4 linked regions of the Coturnix japonica genome follow. The protein of the gene in region 2 interacts with the protein of the main gene of each other region in a pairwise test. Links are inferred from orthologs where the notes say so. Each region holds a gene or a part of one and is shown on either strand. Other genes may lie near its edges. The genes, in order: GEM, AHCYL1, SLC23A1 and CDKN2C.

Evidence for each region.
Region 1: the proteins of AHCYL1 (region 2) and GEM interact in binary tests that used the Homo sapiens proteins (3 or more experiments, as listed by UniProt). The two-hybrid records come from large-scale screens. The link is inferred for Coturnix japonica from reciprocal best matches to the Homo sapiens genes AHCYL1 and GEM.
Region 3: the proteins of AHCYL1 (region 2) and SLC23A1 interact in binary tests that used the Homo sapiens proteins (3 or more experiments, as listed by UniProt). The two-hybrid records come from large-scale screens. The link is inferred for Coturnix japonica from reciprocal best matches to the Homo sapiens genes AHCYL1 and SLC23A1.
Region 4: the proteins of AHCYL1 (region 2) and CDKN2C interact in binary tests that used the Homo sapiens proteins (3 or more experiments, as listed by UniProt). The two-hybrid records come from large-scale screens. The link is inferred for Coturnix japonica from reciprocal best matches to the Homo sapiens genes AHCYL1 and CDKN2C.

What each region holds. Positions count from the first base shown.
Region 1 is NC_029517.1:114,173,697-114,178,532, forward strand, and holds the start of GEM (GTP-binding protein GEM), read right to left. Parts: upstream 3,345-4,836; 5' UTR 3,204-3,344; intron 1,791-3,203; 5' UTR 1,781-1,790; coding exon 1,447-1,780; intron 1-1,446. UniProt on the Homo sapiens protein: Could be a regulatory protein, possibly participating in receptor-mediated signal transduction at the plasma membrane. Has guanine nucleotide-binding activity but undetectable intrinsic GTPase activity.
Region 2 is NC_029541.1:1,678,039-1,682,910, reverse strand, and holds the start of AHCYL1 (S-adenosylhomocysteine hydrolase-like protein 1), read right to left. Parts: upstream 3,217-4,872; 5' UTR 3,031-3,216; coding exon 2,923-3,030; intron 862-2,922; exon of another isoform or gene 644-861; intron 556-643; exon of another isoform or gene 434-555; intron 1-433. UniProt on the Homo sapiens protein: Multifaceted cellular regulator which coordinates several essential cellular functions including regulation of epithelial HCO3(-) and fluid secretion, mRNA processing and DNA replication.
Region 3 is NC_029528.1:14,268,960-14,273,764, reverse strand, and holds the start of SLC23A1 (solute carrier family 23 member 1), read left to right. Parts: upstream 1-1,803; 5' UTR 1,804-2,160; coding exon of another isoform or gene 2,161-2,196; 5' UTR 2,197-2,347; coding exon 2,348-2,626; intron 2,627-2,711; coding exon 2,712-2,819; intron 2,820-2,895; coding exon 2,896-3,053; intron 3,054-3,124; coding exon 3,125-3,213; intron 3,214-3,290; coding exon 3,291-3,358; intron 3,359-3,425; coding exon 3,426-3,607; intron 3,608-3,719; coding exon 3,720-3,840; intron 3,841-3,919; coding exon 3,920-4,076; intron 4,077-4,193; coding exon 4,194-4,341; intron 4,342-4,516; coding exon 4,517-4,622; intron 4,623-4,693; coding exon 4,694-4,805. Other genes in the region: PROB1 (proline-rich basic protein 1), read left to right, coding at 1-236; MZB1 (marginal zone B- and B1-cell-specific protein), read left to right, coding at 796-1,077, 1,233-1,339, 1,406-1,510, 1,582-1,768.
Region 4 is NC_029523.1:21,378,381-21,382,377, reverse strand, and holds the end of CDKN2C (cyclin-dependent kinase 4 inhibitor C), read right to left. Parts: intron 2,577-3,997; coding exon 2,202-2,576; 3' UTR 742-2,201; downstream 1-741. UniProt on the Homo sapiens protein: Interacts strongly with CDK6, weakly with CDK4. Inhibits cell growth and proliferation with a correlated dependence on endogenous retinoblastoma protein RB.

The sequences.
Region 1 (4,836 bases), on a different chromosome or scaffold from region 2:
TATTCCCCTCTGTGAATTGGCTGTCCTGAGACCATCATCTCTTGCAATAATATTTCCAGTTTGTAAGCTCAAGTTTGGATAATGGTTTCTTTGACTGATCCAGCATTGGCATGGGAACAAGATCCATCTGCACCAGAGGACAACATTTAGAGGACTACTTCTTTGTTCTCCATGACACAGCGAGAGGCTACAAGTACGTAACCACACTACTTGAAGATGTTCTGCCCCTGATCCGAATCATAGAATCATGGAAGCTTTTCAGTTGGAAAGGACCCTTAAGGGCCATCTAATTCAACTCCCTTGCCATGAACAGGGACACCTACAGCTAGATCAGGTTGGTTACAGCTCCATCCAGTGAGCTTACTTTGAAGTCAACATTTTAAAAGGGGAAATACAACAGCAGGTTTCCTGATACTTCCATAAAGCTGGCCTTGAAAACTTGTCATGGCCATCCTCCAAGCAGTAGTGCTGGGAGTGCAAATGAATGAAGAATCCATACTGCTTCTCATGAAGAAGGAAACTATCTGACAAGGATGTGCAAAGTAAATCCTGGCTTAAGAACCAAAAAACCTGTCCTGCCTATGCTCCACCAAAGGCTGGAAAAAAAAAGCTCAGAAACTCTCCGTGCTGTCATGGGCATCAGCACAAGCGGAACAGATAGAGGAGAGAAATGCTCTGTGTGTTGAATAGCAAAACCAGCCAGCAACTTGCACGTGTTACCAAGATGACAGCACCTGTGTCCTTAGGACCACAGCAGGCTTCTATCACTGCATGTCCCTTCTTCCACAGCACCTTGCTCACACCCTCATGGCTGGGTGCCACAGCCTCACCTTCTGCAATGACTAGTCTTTGGGACTAAGGAAGGTTTCAAAATCCTCACTAACACGGGAACATGAAATGAGGGGTAGATATATTTTGCTCAGACTCCCTACAGCCTATGCTGACACAACATATTCATATGTAAGGCTGAGATAACATATAATGGCAAATGTTTTGGAGAATTGGATAGGGCTTTTTATTTTTCATTGCATATTATTTCTGAGCATTACATTCTTGTGGACCACAAGGAAAGGTCCTTGTTTTCCTCTGCCCTATAGAAAGCTGGAAATAGCCCTTTGGAGCCTGTGGTGACACAAGAATAGGACCAGAATGAATACTGAATGGCAGCTTCCAACAAATTCTTTGAAATAAAAAAGCATGAGAATCTGTATTGTTCCTTTTCAGATGCTTTGAGTTGTTATTAGAGAGTACCATCCTCGTTGTAGCTTACTTTGCTTATTCTTGTTTTCTTAAGAGAGATGCATGTGTTGGAATTGCTTTTGACAATCAGATCCAGATGTTTGCTAGGTCAATTTTACATTAATTGACCTTTCTGATTTTCCACGTCAATTTCTGCTGCCATGGCTGGTGGTGAGCAAACACAGACCCCAGAGCATGGTGACCTACCTCCCAGCACCTCGCAGTCGCTGTCAATGCTGTCGTGTACCCCTGCAAAGATGTTGGCCAGCGACGATTTGCCCACACCTTGTTCCCCAATCAGCACCACTCTGTAGCAGTTGCTGCAGGACTCAGAGGAGATGACAGAGTCAGATGACTCCGAGGACCAGCTCCTTCTGTAGTATTCATCAGGACTGATGGTGTATCGCTTCTGCACATTGTACTCATTGGAGTCCTTCTGGACCAACAGGTTCTTCCCATCAGCAGGAATGCTCCATCGCTGCTGCTGCTGCTGCAGGCTGCTGTGGTGGGTGCGACGCATGGTAACGTTGTTGAGGGTCATTTTTTTACCCCTGGTGAGAAATGTGGAAGCCATACACTTTATTCTCAAAATACTTACAAACACACCATCTCAAGGCATCAGGTCCTGCTCTTCTATGGGGATACAGTATGCAACAACAACAACAAAAAAGGAGACTCCACACTTTTGCAGTTGCTAGTACTAGTATGCAAAGAAATATTTCTAGCTTGTGAGTCAGAGGCTTTTTCCTGGGGATGATGCCACCCCCATACACTAATCCTCTCTGTCTTTAGCCTGTACATGTTTCCTGTAGTGCTAAGTGTATGGGCAGGGAAGCACTCAGCAGAGCTCACATATGGCTGCATCCCCATCAAGAGATGGGCAGCACCTGCAGGCAACGCTCCCTGCCCTCCTGCCTCCTGGGGCAAGCAGAGGGACCCATCCCTCATACCTCAAACTCACAATCTTACACAGCTCCCATAGGAGAGGAAAGCCATGCAAGCAAGCACATGTCTTTGGGTCTCATCTATGTCGGGATAAGCTTAAAACAGTGGCTTTCTGGCTGCTAGCAGGGACACAACCAAGTCCAATGACTTTTCAGAGGAGGTATATGTTCAAGCCATTACAGAAGGTGGCACTGGCAGAAAAAGATCATAAGTTTACAAATACTAAATCAGAAACTTCATCTGTTTCACAATTAGCTAATAGGTTAGCTCTTCCAACCTTAGCATGGCCCCTAATTACACTTAAATTAGCAAACTCAGTTTTGAGCGGGTTGGCGGCAGAGCACAGTGATGTCATTCTCACGGGCCACCAGCTACCATTTTTAGGAATGTTACTTCTGTGGCTATTTGGACATTTTGCTTTTTGGAGTATATCTGAATTTTATCAGCTCTGTTCTCCATGTCAGTAGGCAGGAGAGCTGCCCATGAAATGAACTTTCAAACTTGAATAACAAGCGGTGAATGAAAACAAGCACAGCAACACATGAAAACAACATGTTCGGATCACTACTCCTTTTCACACAAAGCTATCTGAAAACTTCTTAGAATGAACATAGATCAGGCTGGAGAATAAGCAGACCAAAACCACTTTCTATCTGATCTTATTACAGCACTCACAGTACTTACTCTGTGACACGCAGTGCTTAGTGGCAAAACTAGATTCTGACAAGAAACTAGGCATCAAGCAAAGCCTGCTTCACAAAGTCAGATAGGAACCGCAGTTTGATTTACCATGCATTACTTTCTTTCAGTTTCCCCAGTGAAAAGACCAGATGAGAAAAAGCAATTCCAATTCAGTCAGATATCAGAGCCCAAACAAATGATGACCATCAATAAACAATCACGTCGCAGTCCAAGCCCAGGTTTGATGGCATGCACTGCACTCAGCTGTGTGGGTCTACAAAGCCACAACAAACCCCACAGACACAGGACCCAATGCACAGTGGCCAGAGATTCCTTACTTGTATGTGACCGTCCACGCTGTCAGCTCCGGATTCGCGCTGCCTTCCGCTCCGTGGGCTGTGTTACACTGAGCTGCTCTGCCAGAGTAAATCCCCTCCCGCTTACGGGCTGCCTCTTTAATTCCTTCTCAGCGAACCTGGTTTATATTAAGCCCATCTGATCGGAGACAGGGCTTTTCCGTGACGTGGTTGGCCTTTCCATCCAACAGCCAACCCCCAACTGGGAGGAAGCAGACATGCAGAAAAGCAAAAACTTACAAACAGCCTCAAAAGACTTACTTGAAATCATATGATTGTCTTGGTGTTGCCAGTAAAACAAACACATTTGGGGCTGACATGAGGAAAACAGGCAAGTGGAAAAATTAAAAAAAAACATGTCCTTCCATCTTGCTCAGTTCTGCATTCAAACGCCAGCAGGATTAATGGTGTTTTTAAAACTACGTGTTTCATTAATGAATATAATGCAGTAAATGTGTGATGTTCTCTGTCTGCAAAATGCAGTTAACTCCCCACTGGACAAGATGTTTTTTTGTGGAATAAAAGATCTGAATATCATTTTAGAATTATCTCACAAGCATGAATATTATTCTGTTGTTGTTTTGTTTTTTTTGTTTTGTTTTGGTTTGGTTTATTTGTCTTTTAAAGAGATCCAAAACATACAATCCTACTTTTTCCATCACCTTCCAAGGCTCTACCAGCCATCTCCCACCCCTGCTGCAGCACTCCTCCTGCAAGGGCTCAACAGAACGGCTGCCCACAGACTGAGTGCTGCTCCAGCTGGACGCCAGCAAAGACGGATGTGAATTACAGAGCACAGAGCCCGGGCGACACGGTGCAGATTCTGTCTGCAGTTTATTAGGAGAGATGGCTATACAGTGTATGCACCACAAAGCATGTGCCTGCTCCTCAAATGGTGCCATTTCTAACAGCCTGTGTGGAAATCACAATTAACAGAGCAAAGAAATAAACCTCCACAAAATACTTGGTAGGGATACCATCAGTTATACAGAAGTCTACAGCAAACTCCCACTATTTTTCCTTCTTTTTCCAAACCTGTGACTGCCCTTCCCCTGGCAGCTGAGCTTTAGCACCAGCGCTGTGCAGGGTGGAACATCCCTTCCCTTGGTACTGCCTGGCACTCATGTCACAGACTTCTGCATTTTTGTGTCTCACATAAGCCTTGTACAGAACATTTCCTCTGATAATGCAGCCCTTTATGAAACTCTTCCACTGAGATATGCCTGATTTCTCTCCCCTTCAGCTTTGTTGCACTTCTGCATTTTTCATGAGGATTTTCAGGGATCTTCTGAGCCCATCCTGTTGGATCACCTCTGTTCAGCAGTGGCTGCCCTGGCTCCAAGCCCTGCAGCTCTGCGTAGGATGCACACAACAACTGTTTGTGCTCACTGTACAGCACAGCAAAACACGGCACAACCCCTGTCAGGGAATGTTTATGGCAAGGCCAGTGGGTCTCAAAGCAGAGCACTTTGCTGTCAGCACACCGAGTTCTGAAGTTGCTCCTCCCTTTTGCAAAATGTAAATGAAGTGGGGGAGCGGATGGCTGCAGAGCTGCGTGCTGCACCCTCAAGGGATTTCAGTTCTCTTTATGTCGCCTGTCACTCGTCACCTCCTA
Region 2 (4,872 bases):
CATATCCATGTCCCACAGCACTGCAGGGCCACAGCACCGAGCATTGAGCTGGAGCCCATTCCACCTTCAGTGCATGAATAAGCAGATCTGTCTGCAGAGGACGAGAGCGTCTGCCTGTCCAACAGCGCCCGAGCGTGAAGGTGCCTGCATGGAGATGCTGCGTGCAGGGTCACAGTAACAAACAGGGAGCAGGCATGCAAAGCCCCCCCAGCTCAAGGGCACACACACACACACACACACAGAGCACAGCAGGGAGCTCAGGGCTGCAGCAAACAGGCTGGGAAATGCAGCTCCAAGGGCAGCTGCAGGTCTGTGGGTGCAGGCAGCATAAGTAGCACCCAGGGAGCTGGGAGAGCACGCACTGCCCTTCTGTTCTCCTCCATCCCCAAAGCAAAGCACCCCCCACCAAAGCACAAGGCTCAGCATCGCTCACCTCTGCCTGCAAAGCTCTCCCTGCCCAGCAGCCCAATGGCTCCCACTGTTTTGTCCCCGGGAAGCAGAGCAGCAAAGGAGCTGCAAGAGGTTGCAGGCGACGCCAGCAGCTCCTGGAGCAGCAGCGGCCGCATTGCTGCAGGGAACCCCCAGCTCTGACGGCTGCAGCTCCGACTTCAATCCGATGGCGTGTAATCTTTTAATCTCTTACCTCCTGCTGTTTCACTTTTTCACCTTAAGCAAATCAGGAGAGCGATGCTGAAGGGTTCCGATGCAGCCCATGTGTTCCCCCTGTGCTCAAGGGGGGGCTCCAAGCTGGGGACACCCACCCCATGCACTGGGACAAGGCAAAGCTGCTCCCTGAGGAGCTCAGCTCACACAGCTCAGCTCCATCCCAGTATCAGGGCACACACTGTGTCCTCCAGCTCCACCTCTCAGCCATCTTCAATGCTGGCCACGCTCGGAGCAGCCGTAAGCAGCTTTGGCTTGCATTAAAACCAAGAGGCGTTTGAATGGTTCCATTGCAATTGGAAAGCATCTGAAATGCCCAGAGCTGGGGGCACTCAGCGCTGTATTGCAGGGTGATTCTCCATCCTTCTCCTTTCATCCTCCTGCCAAGGTTTCCCCTATAACTGAGCCCTATTTGCACAAAGCAGCCATGCAAGGAGAGCAGCAGCCCCGAGCGCTTTGTTCCTTGACCTCAGTTGCATTGCAAGCTCCCCAGGATCTCAATGCAACGCTGATGTTATCAGCATCAAATGCCTCCCGTGGCTCAGGGCACCTCCACCATCACAGCGCTGCAGTGTGACGGCTGCTCTTGGTGCTGTGCAATGCAATGCAATGCAATGCAACGCAATGCAATGCAACGCAATTCAATGCACACAGCAGCACAGCGAGGTAAGGAAGGATCCCAAACCAACCCGAGCACAGACAGAGCTCTGAGAACACCAGGATTCCCCCTGGATACACTGAGGTTATTTCTTATTCCGTGGGTATGATGCTCCAGGATTCATTGCTTGCTCCCAGCTCAGCCACAGCCTCACCCTGTTACCATCAGCTCCATGACCAGCCCAGCTCCATTAAATACAAAAGCAATAAGAACACAAACCCCCCCTACAAGCTCCCAGCTCCACATTCCTCCGCTCCTTCCTTCAGGCCACATCCAAAGCCTGAATAAACAGAGCTGGGCACGACAGCCTCCAACCCTCCGCTCCCATCACATCCCAGTGCTGCCATAACCACCCATAGGGGGGTCCCCAATGGGGGCTGTGTCCCCACTATGAGCACACGGGGACCCATAGCAAAGCACTGAGCCCAATGGGGACACCCTGAGCCCAGCACACAGCGATGTGCCCACCTATAAGCCCCGACAACAGCCCTACATGGTGGGGCAGCACTCAGCTCTCACCCCATGGCACCATACGGCCCCATACAAATCCATAAGGCCCTATACAGATCCATACGACCCCATACGGCCCCATACAGATCCATAGGGCCCCATGCGGCTCCATACAGATCCATAAGGCCCTATACAGATCCATACGACCCCATATGGCCCCATAGGGCTCCATAGGGCTCCATAGGGCTCCATAGGGCTCCATAGGGCTCCATACGGATCCATACGGCCCCATACAGATCCAAACGGCCCCATATAGCTCCATACAGATCCATAGGGCCCCATATGGCTCCATACAGATCCATAAGGCTCCATACAGATCCATACGGCCCCATACAGATCCATAAGTCTCCATACGGCCCCATACAGATCCATAAGTCTCCCCATTACGGCCCCATACAGATCCATAAGTCTCCATACGGCCCCATACAGATCCATAAGTCTCCATACGGCCCCATACAGATCCATAAGTCTCCATACAGATCCATACAGCCCCATACGGCCCCATACGGCCCCATAGAGATCCATACGGCCCCATACAGATCCATAAGGCTCCATACAGATCCATAGGGCACCATACGGCCCCATACAGCCACATACAGCCACATACAGATCCATACAGCCCCATACGGCCCCATATAGATCCATATAGCCCCATACGGCTCCATACAGCCCCATACGGCTCCATACCGATCCATACAGCCCCATACAGATCCATACAGCCCCATACGGATCCATACAGCCCCATACCGATCCATACAGCCCCATACAGACCGATACAGCCCCATATAGATCCATACGGCCCCATACAGCCCCATACAGATCCATACGGCCCCATACAGCCCCATACAGCCCCATACAGACCCATACAGCCCCATACAGCCCCATACGGATCCATACAGCCCCATACAGCCCCATACAGATCCATACAGCCCCATACAGCCCCATACAGCCCCATACAGCCCCATACAGCCCCATACAGCCCCATACAGCCCCATACAGCCCCATATTGACCCCATACAGCCCCATACAGCCCCATACAGCTCCATACAGCCCCATAGGCCCCATTCCAGCCCCTATCGATCCCGTTGTACCTTCTTGGGCGCTTTGGTAACGGTGGCCATAAAGGAAAACTTCTCAGCGTCCTCCGCCTCCTTGGCCTGCTTGGCCTCCTCACCGCCGCTGGGCTCCGGGCCCGACATCGTGTCTCGAGGCGGAACGGAGGGGTACAAGGGGAGGAGGAGGGATGGGCCGCCCCGGTTCGGTTCCGTTCGGTTCCGTTCGGTTCCGTTCGGTTCCGTTCGGTTCCGTTCGGTTCCGTTCGGTTCCGGTCGGTTCGCAGCGCGATGCGGCGGACACTGCGGGCACCGCGCGGGGCGCCGGGGGCGGCTCTGGAGTGACGTTAGTGCGTGATGACGTCATCACGCGGCCGCTGGATGAGTGAGGCGGGGAGATAGAAGAGACGGGATGGAAACGGGAGCGGCACCATGGCGCCACCTAGTGGTGGAAGGGGGGAATGGACCGCCACGGGAGGACTATGGGATGGGATGGGATGGGATGGGATGGGATGGGATGGGATGGATGGGATGGATGGGATGGGGATGGGTGGATGGGGATGGCGGGGGATGGGATGGGCATGGATGGGATGGGATGGGGTGGGATGGGAATGGGATGAAAATGGATGGGAATGAGGTGAGAAGGGATGGGATGGGTTGGGATGGAGGATGGATGGGTTGGGATGGAGGATGGGTTGGAATGGAGGATGGATGGGATGGGATGGGATGGGATGGGATGGGATGAGGATGAGGACATAATGCATAAATAAACAGATAAAAGAATGAATAAAGAAGCTTAACCCCACTATGATCTGATTCAGTCATAAATAAACTGAGAAACAGAGACATGGAATGGTTTGGGTTGGAAGGGACCCAGAGAATCCTCGCCCCCACCCACCTCCCTTCCATCCTCCTGGAGGGCTGAGCTCTCTGTTCTGCGCTGGGTCAGGGCAGCCCCAAGCACAGCTCTAGGGGCAGCCAGATCCAAGGAACAAGCATCCATCATGGTGGGGACGGGCTGGGATGGGCTGTAATGCACGGGGGGGGGGGTCAGCACCCTCAGCTCAGCCCCCCATGGTGCTCCCAAGGGCCACGTCCCTCCTTGATACGGGCTGATGGTGCTGCTGTCCATCCATCCATCCATCCATCCATCCATCCATCCATCCATCCATCCATCCATCCATCCATCCAGCACTGAATGGCTCCGCTTCCCCCTTGGGATCCCCATTTCCCACCCTTACCCCCCCCATACCCAGCAATGGGGTTACACACATGTACCTCCCCTCATTGCTCGTCCCCCCTCCAGCCCCACAGCGATGAACCCACAGAGCCAGCAGCGTTGCAGCATCGCAGCTCATAGTTTTCCCCTTAACCAAAACTGCTCTGTCTGACCGCAGATCGGGCCCGGGCCGGTCCTCACTCGACACAACCCTCCATCCCATCAGGGTGGCCGGGATCGCTCCGTTCCGTCCCTATAACCCCCAGTGGGGAACCGCGGCCCCGCGGTGCTTTCCGGGACGGCGCTGCCCCGTCAGCAGTCTGCGGCCCCATAGGGAGGGCTGTGGTCCCTGCTGCCCCATAGGGAAGGCTGTGGTCCGACGGTGCCCCATCCACAGCCACCCCAGTGCTGATGCTTCATCCCTCCCCCCCCCCACTTCAGACTTTGGGTTTTCAGCCCCATCTCGGCACCTCACCTGCTTTTAAGGTGTAAAAATCCCCCCATGGGGGCTCTCCTTTAGGAGGGATGATCCCCCTCCCTGCTGTAGGAACATGGATTGGCTCCATCCCCCCATTAAAGCTCCCAAAAATGGGCTCTGAGCTTTTGCTCCCCCCAACCCACCCTTAGGGCTCCCAAAACTGTCAGTTTTACCCCCAAAATCTCCTCCCCGTGCCTTCTCCCCCCATTTCTCCCCCCCTCCCCATGGCCTCTCCTCCATCCCCACTGCCCCACAGCCATCATTCAGCTTAACCCTCCATCAGGGCAGGGAC
Region 3 (4,805 bases), on a different chromosome or scaffold from region 2:
CACATCTTGACCTGCAGGGCCAGCCACCGACCTCTGAAAACCCTGGAGGCTTATCTGGAACCTTCAGCCCTGATCCTAAGGGTGAGGGGACACCTGCAGCTGGGGGTCCTGACTGCGGGTACCTGGAGAGCCCCTATTACATCCCCACAGGGATGCGGGCCAGCCCCAGCCCCAGCCAACCCCCAGCCCGTGCCAGCCCTGCCAGCGCCGAGAAGGGACCACTGCCTCCCTTGTGATCTCCAGATGCAGTGCCAGCCCACATCGCCCCCAGCCCTGGCTGGAGGGACCCTGTGGTTGTGGCTGATCTGGTGGTGGGTATTGCCTGGGCCTGACCATCATCTAGAAGGAAAAGTGATGTTTTCAGCCCCGGTGTGTTCCTGAAGTTGTGGCAGTGTGGCCACAGCAGCAAAGGGACCACGTGGATGGCCCCGCTCGGCCCAGCCTGCAGCTCCCATCCCAGGGTGATGAATAGAAGCGCCGCAGCCACAGCACGGACTCCTGGAAATAGCAATAAAGTGCAGGGCCAGCATTAACCCTACAAACCCACCCGAGTCTGAGTCGTCTCTAAAGGGGACACGAGGGGCACACCCTGAGCAGAGCCTCATGCACAGCAAACGGTGCAGGTGCAATGGTGGGGATGGGGGTCACAAGCCCAGGGGGAGGAGGAGGTGAGACAAACCCAGGGTTGATGTGTGGGAGGATGGGGGCAGGACTGAACGTAACCAGGATTCTGAATTAAACCCAACACCAAAACAGGGGCAGATGCTGCACTGAGTGTCAGCCGGATGCAGGTGCATGGCTGCGCATGGGTGCCTGGGGGTGACACAGTCCGTGCCCGCCCCCATTGCTTCCAGCATCACCCAGCGGTGCCGGGGCAGAATCATGCAGGCAGCGCTGGTGCTGTGTGTGTCCCTGAGCCTGGCAGCAAGAGCCGGGGCTGAGGATGCATGTGGGGGCCCCGAGGTCCCCTCCTCATCCTACAACATCCCTGCGCCACAGATGAGTGCTGAGGACCGGCTCTCACCCCACATGCCTGAAGCGCTGCGCTGCGACGCCTGCCACGCCATCGCCTTCCAGGTGCAGGGGGGCATCCCCAGCAGCAGCCCGGCACCGCGCTGAGCGCTGCTGGGGGGTGAGGGGGGTGATGGGGTGGGAGAGGGGTCCCGGTGCATGCAGGGGGGTCCCGGTGCATGGCCACAGCGCGGCCACTTTCTGCTCCGCTCCTGCCGCAGCTGGAGGGGCGGCTGAGCCGCGCGGAGGCGAAGCAGGGCAGGAAGGAGCTGAGCGAGTCCGACTACGTGGAGGTGCTGGAGCAAAGCTGCGTGCAGGACTGGGAGCTGTGAGTGCTGCGACCCTTCCCCAGTGGGCAGCGGGCGGTCGAGACCCCAACCTCACATCCCTGCAGTTACGGCGTGCAGGAACTGAGAGGGGAGCGGCGGCTGACGGGGCCGGGGCTGCCGAGGCAGGAGGCGATGAGCGTGGCCATGATGGGGGGCCCGTGGCCGGGCAGGTGAGCGCTGCAGGGTGGCACGGAGGGGACACGGGGACGCTCCGTGCCCCGACACCTCGTACCGCCCGCAGGCTGAGCAAGATGTGCCACGGCCTCGTGGGCGAGCACGGCGAGCAGCGGCTGTACCGAGCGCACCGACGGGGCCACACCGCGCTGCGGGAGCTGCTGTGCCACGGCGAGAAGGGGCCGTGCGCCCACCTGGGGGCGTCTAAAGCAGGGGGCTCAGCCCCCCCTAAGGCGCTGCAGAACGAGCTGTAGCCAGCAGCCTTCACCTGCCGGCACTGCGGGTGGTTAATGCTTAATGCCTGGTGACCTTTGGAGCCGGACACACGCGGAGGGGACTCAGGGAGGTGGCACTGCCGGCTCCAGGCCCGGGTTGCCGGGCTGCTGCTGTCCCCATCCCAGCTCCGTGTGTTTGCTCTCGTGGGGACATCCCCGGTGCCACCCGTGCCCCGTCCGCGCTGTTACTCTGTAACCCTCCGCCTTAATGTTTGACCGAAGCGGCGCGGGCGGCGGTGCCAGCCCTAATTAAAGCAGTTAATCGCTCATCCCTCACCACCACCACACTCCCCGGTTTCACAACCCGCAGAGTAAAGTCCTCCCCAGCACAATATAAACCACCGCGTGGTGACATCCCCGCACTGCCCAGGATGGGGACCCGCTCGGGAGAACTGCCCCAGCCCCAGGTGACCGCGGCTCCCACCCCGACCCCTTCAGCTGCCCCCATTGGGCGCTGGGGACGGGGCAGGTGGGGAGGGGCACAGCGCCTCTGGGTGGCAAAGGGTGGGGGGGGCTTGGGGGGGCGAGGCCCAGGGGACACACTGGGGCCGTGGTGGGATGCTGTGGCTGGGGCATGGCACCCATGGGGGGCTACAGTTGCTCCGGGGACAGTGGGGACCCCACCACCGTGCACTGGGTCCCCCTGGGGCGGCACCCGAGGGCCCGGATCCCGGCGGGGGTGGCCGGGCGGTGTCCCCACATCCCCAGGAGGCCGCAGCCAGGTTCCCATGGCACGCCCGGCACAACACCGATCCACCCTCTGCCTCTCCCTGCTGCCAGGACGCCAGCCCGGCCCTCGCCCCCTCTGGCCCCCAGCGACCCCCGGGGGCGGGCAGGGTGAGCACTGTCCCCATCCCTGTCCCTGCGCCCCTTGGGGCTGCCGGTGGGCTCAGCGCTTCCCCTTCAGCCGTGCCCTCCCCAGGGCCCCGCGGCGGACCCCGGCCCACCCCCAGCTCGGCGGCAGTTCGACATGTTGTACCGGATCGAGGACGTGCCCCCCTGGTACCTCTGCATCCTGATGGGCTTCCAGGTACGGCACAGCCCCCACGGCCCCAGAGCCCCCCCCGCCGGGTCCCATCTGAGCCCCCGCACCGCTGTGCCCCCAGCACTACCTGACCTGCTTCAGCGGCACCATCGCCGTGCCCTTCCTGCTGGCTGAGAGCCTGTGTGTGGGCAAGGACCAGCTGACCGTCAGCTACCTCATCGGCACCATCTTCACCTGCGTCGGCATCACCACCCTCATCCAGACCACCGTGGGCATCAGGTAGGGCTGCTCCCCCCCCGCCCCTGGTCCACATCCCCCCAAGGGCTGCAGCCCCCCCTCCCACCCCGCAGGCTGCCGCTGTTCCAGGCGAGTGCTCTGGCCTTCCTGGTGCCCGCCAAGTCCATCCTGGCGCTGGAGAAGTGGCGCTGCCCACCTGAAGGTAGGAGCGGGACGCAGCGATGGCGGCACACGCTGCCCATCAGCCCTGTGCTCACCTCCACCCTCCTCCACCCCCAGATCAGATCTATGGCAACTGGGTGCTGCCGCTCAACACCTCCCACATCTGGCAGCCCCGCATGCGGGAGGTACGGCCCAGCCCTGCCCCACGCGGCCCCACGGCTGCCCCGCACCCGCTCACGTCTCACCCCACAGATCCAGGGGGCCATCGTGGTGTCCAGCCTGGTGGAGGTGTTCATCGGGCTGCTGGGGCTGCCTGGCGCGCTGCTCAGCTACATCGGGCCGCTCACCGTCACCCCCACCGTCTCCCTCATCGGCCTCTCCGTCTTCCAGGCTGCAGGCGAGCGGGCCGGCTCGCACTGGGGCATCGCTGCGCTGTATGTCACCACCATGAGCATGAGGGTGGATTTCAGGCCCTTGTGCCAACGCCGCAGGTATCCCTGGTGTCCTCAAGGTCCCGGTGTCCTCATGGCCCTCTGCTCTCTGCAGGTCCATCGTCCTCATCGTGCTCTTTGCGCAGTACCTGCGGAACATCACCGTGCTCCTGCCCGGGTACCGCTGGGGCCGCGGCTTCGTCCTGCTGCGTGTGCAGATCTTCAAGATGTTCCCCGTAGGGATGGGGTGGGGGAGGTGCTGTGCAGCGCTGCTGGGGTGTCCCCATCCCCACGTGTCCCCATGTCCACCCACAGATCATCCTGGCCATCATGGTGATGTGGCTGCTCTGCTACGTGCTGACACGCACCGGCGTCTTCCCCAGCCACCCCGACGAGTACGGCTACAAGGCCCGGACGGATGCACGCGGGGAGATCCTCTCGGTGGCTCCCTGGTTCCGTTTCCCCTACCCCTGTGAGTGACCCATGGCTGCCCCACGGTGCCACACAGGGGCAGGGCAGTGGCACACCATTGCTGGCAGCACACACCCCATGGTGGTGGCACGTCCCCACGCAGTGCTGCTCCCCTCAGGTCAGTGGGGGCTGCCCACGGTGACCTCAGCAGCTGTGCTGGGCATGTTCAGTGCCACACTGGCTGGAATCATCGAGTCCATCGGGGATTACTATTCCTGTGCACGGCTGTCAGGAGCACCCGCACCCCCAGTGCACGCCATCAACAGGTATGGCAGCACTGCAGGGATGGGGACTGCACTGCACACCGTCTGTACTCCCATTCTGTGCCTGTGGCTGCTTCATGCTGCCACTTCCTGGTGGCACAGCCCCACACCTCGGGCACGTCTCCAAAGCCACCACAGGGAATGGCACCCTCTGCTCATCCCTCTGTTCATCCCCCAGGGGCATTTTCACAGAAGGCATCTCCTGCATCATCGCGGGGCTGATGGGAACCGGCAACGGCTCCACCTCCTCCAGCCCCAACATCGGGGTGCTGGGCATCACCAAGGTACCACCCGACCCATGTGTCCCCACGGGGTCACAGCCGCCTCCATGCACTGCCTGTGTCCCCGTGTGCAGGTGGGGAGCAGGAGGGTGATTCAATACGGCGCTGGGATCATGCTCATCCTGGGCACCATTGGCAAGTTCACTGCGCTGTTCGCCTCACTGCCCGACCCCATCCTCGGTGGGA
Region 4 (3,997 bases), on a different chromosome or scaffold from region 2:
CTCCGTGCCCGGGGCAGCGTTTTGTTCCCCATCGCTCCGCACCGCACTCGCTGCGGTTGTGATGTACGCGGCCCCGGCTGCTCCTGCCCGAGAGATGTTCTTTGCTCGTGGTCTCTGTCTCAATAAAAGCTTTCCAATAAATATTTCGTTCCATCTGTCTGTTTGCATCCGCTGCTGAACGTTCCTGTTGACGTTGTCACCAACAGGATTTGTAAAATGGGACATTCTGCTGCTGTCAGAGCGCGAGGACGGGGTCGCAAAGACACTTCTTGAACCGCGTCCGAGCTCAGAACCCTTTGGGGCAGAAGGATCCCACTGGGGAGCACCGCAGCACATAGGGAAGCCCCCACTCCGGTTCCCCGGAGAGTTTCCAGCATCCATTCCCCTCCCGATGCCAAGGGCGGGGGAAGAGGCGTCAGTGTACCAAGTGTACCAAGTGTACCAAGTGTACCAAGTGTACCAAGTGAACCAAGTGTAGCACACCGCTGCCGAGAAATAGGCTTTGCGGGAGGGAGAGCCGCACCGCGATGCGGGAGCATCCCGAGGGACCGGGAGGGCGGGGCGGGGGGTGCGGGCAGAGCGAGGACGGAGCGCAGCTGGGACGGGGTGGGGGGCTTTGGGCTGCACAGGTCGGGGAGAGCGGAGGAGGTGAGCGCGGCCCCGGGGGGCTGCCACCCCCCGCGGGTGGGAAGGGGTCCGCAGCCCCTCGGGAATAGATGTGCCACAGAACAGCGCGAGGCGTTGCGGTGCACAGAGGTTTTTAATCAGAGAACGCAGAACACAGTGGTTGTGAGAGTACAGCGACGGGACGGACAGGTCCAGGCAGTTATTGATACTGGAAAACAGTGGTAGTTCATTTTGCGGGACCGTGTACATAAATTTTGGGGTTGGTTTGTTTGTTTGTTTTAAAGAAAGAAAACGTAAAGCAATGTACAGCCCTTGTCTTTTAGGTGCTATTTTGCAGCCAGTCTTTCCTTTCACATTGATGTGTGCCTTCCCATCCTGTGCCATCGACAGTCCGACCCCGCAGCGCAGAGCACGCCGAGGTTCCCGTCCGCCGCCCCTCCCGCTGCTCCCCGCCTTAACGGGGGGTTCGGCCGTGGGACCCTGACGGCTGTTCTGCAAGGGAAACAGTTCAGGGATTCCATTGCTCGTTAGGTGCAGGCATTGAGATCACCTCACCAGTACCTCAAGTGTCGCTTCCTAAATTCCACTGCATCCAAATATACCTGTAAGATACAGCCGTCATCATCCTGTGGGGTTTGGCTTTTCCTTTTTTTTTTCTTCCCCAAACAAAACAAAGCGGGCGGTACGAAGCGATCATTTCTAAAGAGCATCGCAACAGCGCTCAGCTCAGGCAGGGACAGGAGGAGCTGGAGGATTTCAGCCCCCCATTTCTGTGCTCCTACCTCTGCCCGGGGTTATGTGCTCTTTGGAAACTGGAGAATAATGCACTTTTCTGCTCCGAGTGCCCAGCTGAGCGCCTCAAAACCTCTGGCCAAAAAAAGAAAAAAAAAAAAGAAAAGCCACTTCTGTTGTTTCTGGTAACTACACTCAAAGGCAGCTCGGTGAAAGTTTAAATACACAAAGGGGAAAAGTGTCATCTACATTTAGAAAGCGAGCGACCTACTCTTAAGAGCTCCTGTTAGTGTCAGACTGAGGTTGATGCCCGAAGCGGTTCTCCCGGGCCCGGTGCCCCCCCGGCCGGGCCGCTCCCGGTCCCCACCCGACCCCAACACGCGTCAGGCTGAGCCGGGGGTGTGGGGGAGGGGGGGGGGGGGGGGGAAGAATCCCCGCGGGCTGTTTCCTTCCCCCGGCGCGGAAAGGGGTCATTAAGCGGTGGATCCTCAACGTTTAGGTTAATGGCTGAGTAACGAACGGGGATACACTGCAGAGCGTGGTGCTGGAAGCCCGGTGTGAGCTGCGGCGTGGGCACGGCGGAGTGAGGAGTGATGTGAGCGGCGGCGGTAACAACGTGCCGCCACCGTGCATTGAAATAATGTTCCTTAGCTAAAACCCCACTTCTACAACTTCTTGAACTCACACTATCCACTATTCCAAAAATATAACAACAACAAAAAAAAAGAAAAAAATATATATAGAAGTAGGGTTGAACCAAACGTTATTAAAAAGGGGGAGAAAAAAAAAAGAAAATCATCAAAGATCGAGGCTGGGAGCCGCAGTGTCCGAGGAGGCCCGGTTCAGTCGGTGTCGGCCGCGGGCGGGGGGCCGCCCTCCATCAGCCGCACCACGGCGCTGCGCCGGTACAGCCGGGCCACGTCCAGCGCCGTGTCCCCGCGGCGGTTCTGGTGCATGACGCGGCTCGGGGTGCGCCGCAGCAGGAACTCCACCACCCGCACGTGGCCCTCCTGGGCCGCCAGGTGTAACGGCAGGTTGCCTTCCGCGTCCTCGATGTTCACGTCGGCGTGGAACTCCAGCAGGGTCTGCAAAGTGTCCAGGAAACCCGCTCTGGCTACGTCGTGAATGACGGCGAAGCCGGTACTGTCCTTCAGGTTGGGGTTCGCTCCGCTCATCAGCAGCCTGCGGGCGATCTCGGGGTTGCCGAGCTTCATCACCTGCGGGACGGAGTGAGACGTCAGCGCCCGCGGAGCCCCAGCCCTCAGCCCACAGCTCCGAGCCCCGCTGCGCCCGACGGTACGTCTAATTCCAAGCTTTCCTCACTGACCTCGGCGGCATTAGGGGAGGTTTGGTGGTGCTGTTAGGGGAGGTTTGGTGGCTCGGTGCTGACAGCTTTGGCTCAGAGATTAACGCCTGCAGCCGGAGCGACCTTCTCCCCTACAAGTGATCTCGGCTCCTCTGCAGCACCGCTCGGTGCCGGCTGCGGGTCTCCGAGGAACAGAGACTGTGCCTCAGCGATAGAAAATGCGCGATGTGCTTCGATAAGCCCTCAGGTGTTTGCATTGTCTGCGCATTATCATAAAGCAAATATTTGTGCCGTGCCATAGTTCTGGCTGCTAAGAAAAATAAATGCTCCAAGAAACTGTTCTCCCCGGTGCTGGAGTCTCAGTGTCACCTGACAAGAAGTGAAAAGGAGCGGTGCGAAGTGCCGCACATTTTCTTCCCAAACCAACCAATGATTCAGTGGTTCTGGATTCTATGATCCGATCAGGATTCTGTCATTTTAATATAAACAAACCACGGCCACGCTCTGCTGTTACACACATCCCTATTTCAGAACCAGCCGTTGGGTCAGGAAGAAATACATAAAGAAATAATTCAATCGAATGCCTCATTACATTCTCTCGGTTGCATCATAAAATCATTCGAAATTAGAACACATTTTTTTTCCCCCTATTTGGGACGTAACGGCCTGCACCGATTCCCATCAAATTCCTCTATCTTTTATTCCTTCTTGTTTTGTTTTCTCAGAGCCTGAGCCGGGCACCCAGCGCAGCACTGCTCTGTCTGTGCCATCAGCCGCACTGCGAGTGGCAGAGCCGAGTAAAAACCCCTCCTGGATTTCCTTAAACTGATCTGAAAACCTCGCGAATAATAATAATAAAAAAGAATCAGCAACAAAAATGTATGTTACAGTTAGATGAGAAATAACTGAGCAGAACTTACACAAAGCATTTGCCTCAAAAGTCTCTTAGTGTAAAATAATAATAATAATAATAATAATTAGGCTTTTTAAGATTATTAAAAATAATAATAAAGTTCTTCTAATGATTCTTCTAATTAATAAATCTCACTTCTTCCCCGGTGCTGTGAGGGCAGAGTGGGTGCAGGGAGCAGAGGCTCGGGGAAGCACAGCTCTGAGCACACTGCTCTTTCACTTCTGAGCAGGAGTGGGAGGGAAAATAGGAGCAGTGCGAGCCCTCCTTTGTGTTGGGAAAATTATTGGGATGTGTTAGGGAGTATTTTTGGAGGGCTCGGGGTGCATTTTTGGTGGATTTATAAAGTGTATTTGGTCGAAGTGGGAGTTAATAGGCTCGAGGAAGGCAGGCTCGGGGAGTGAGGCTGCATTGCCACATGC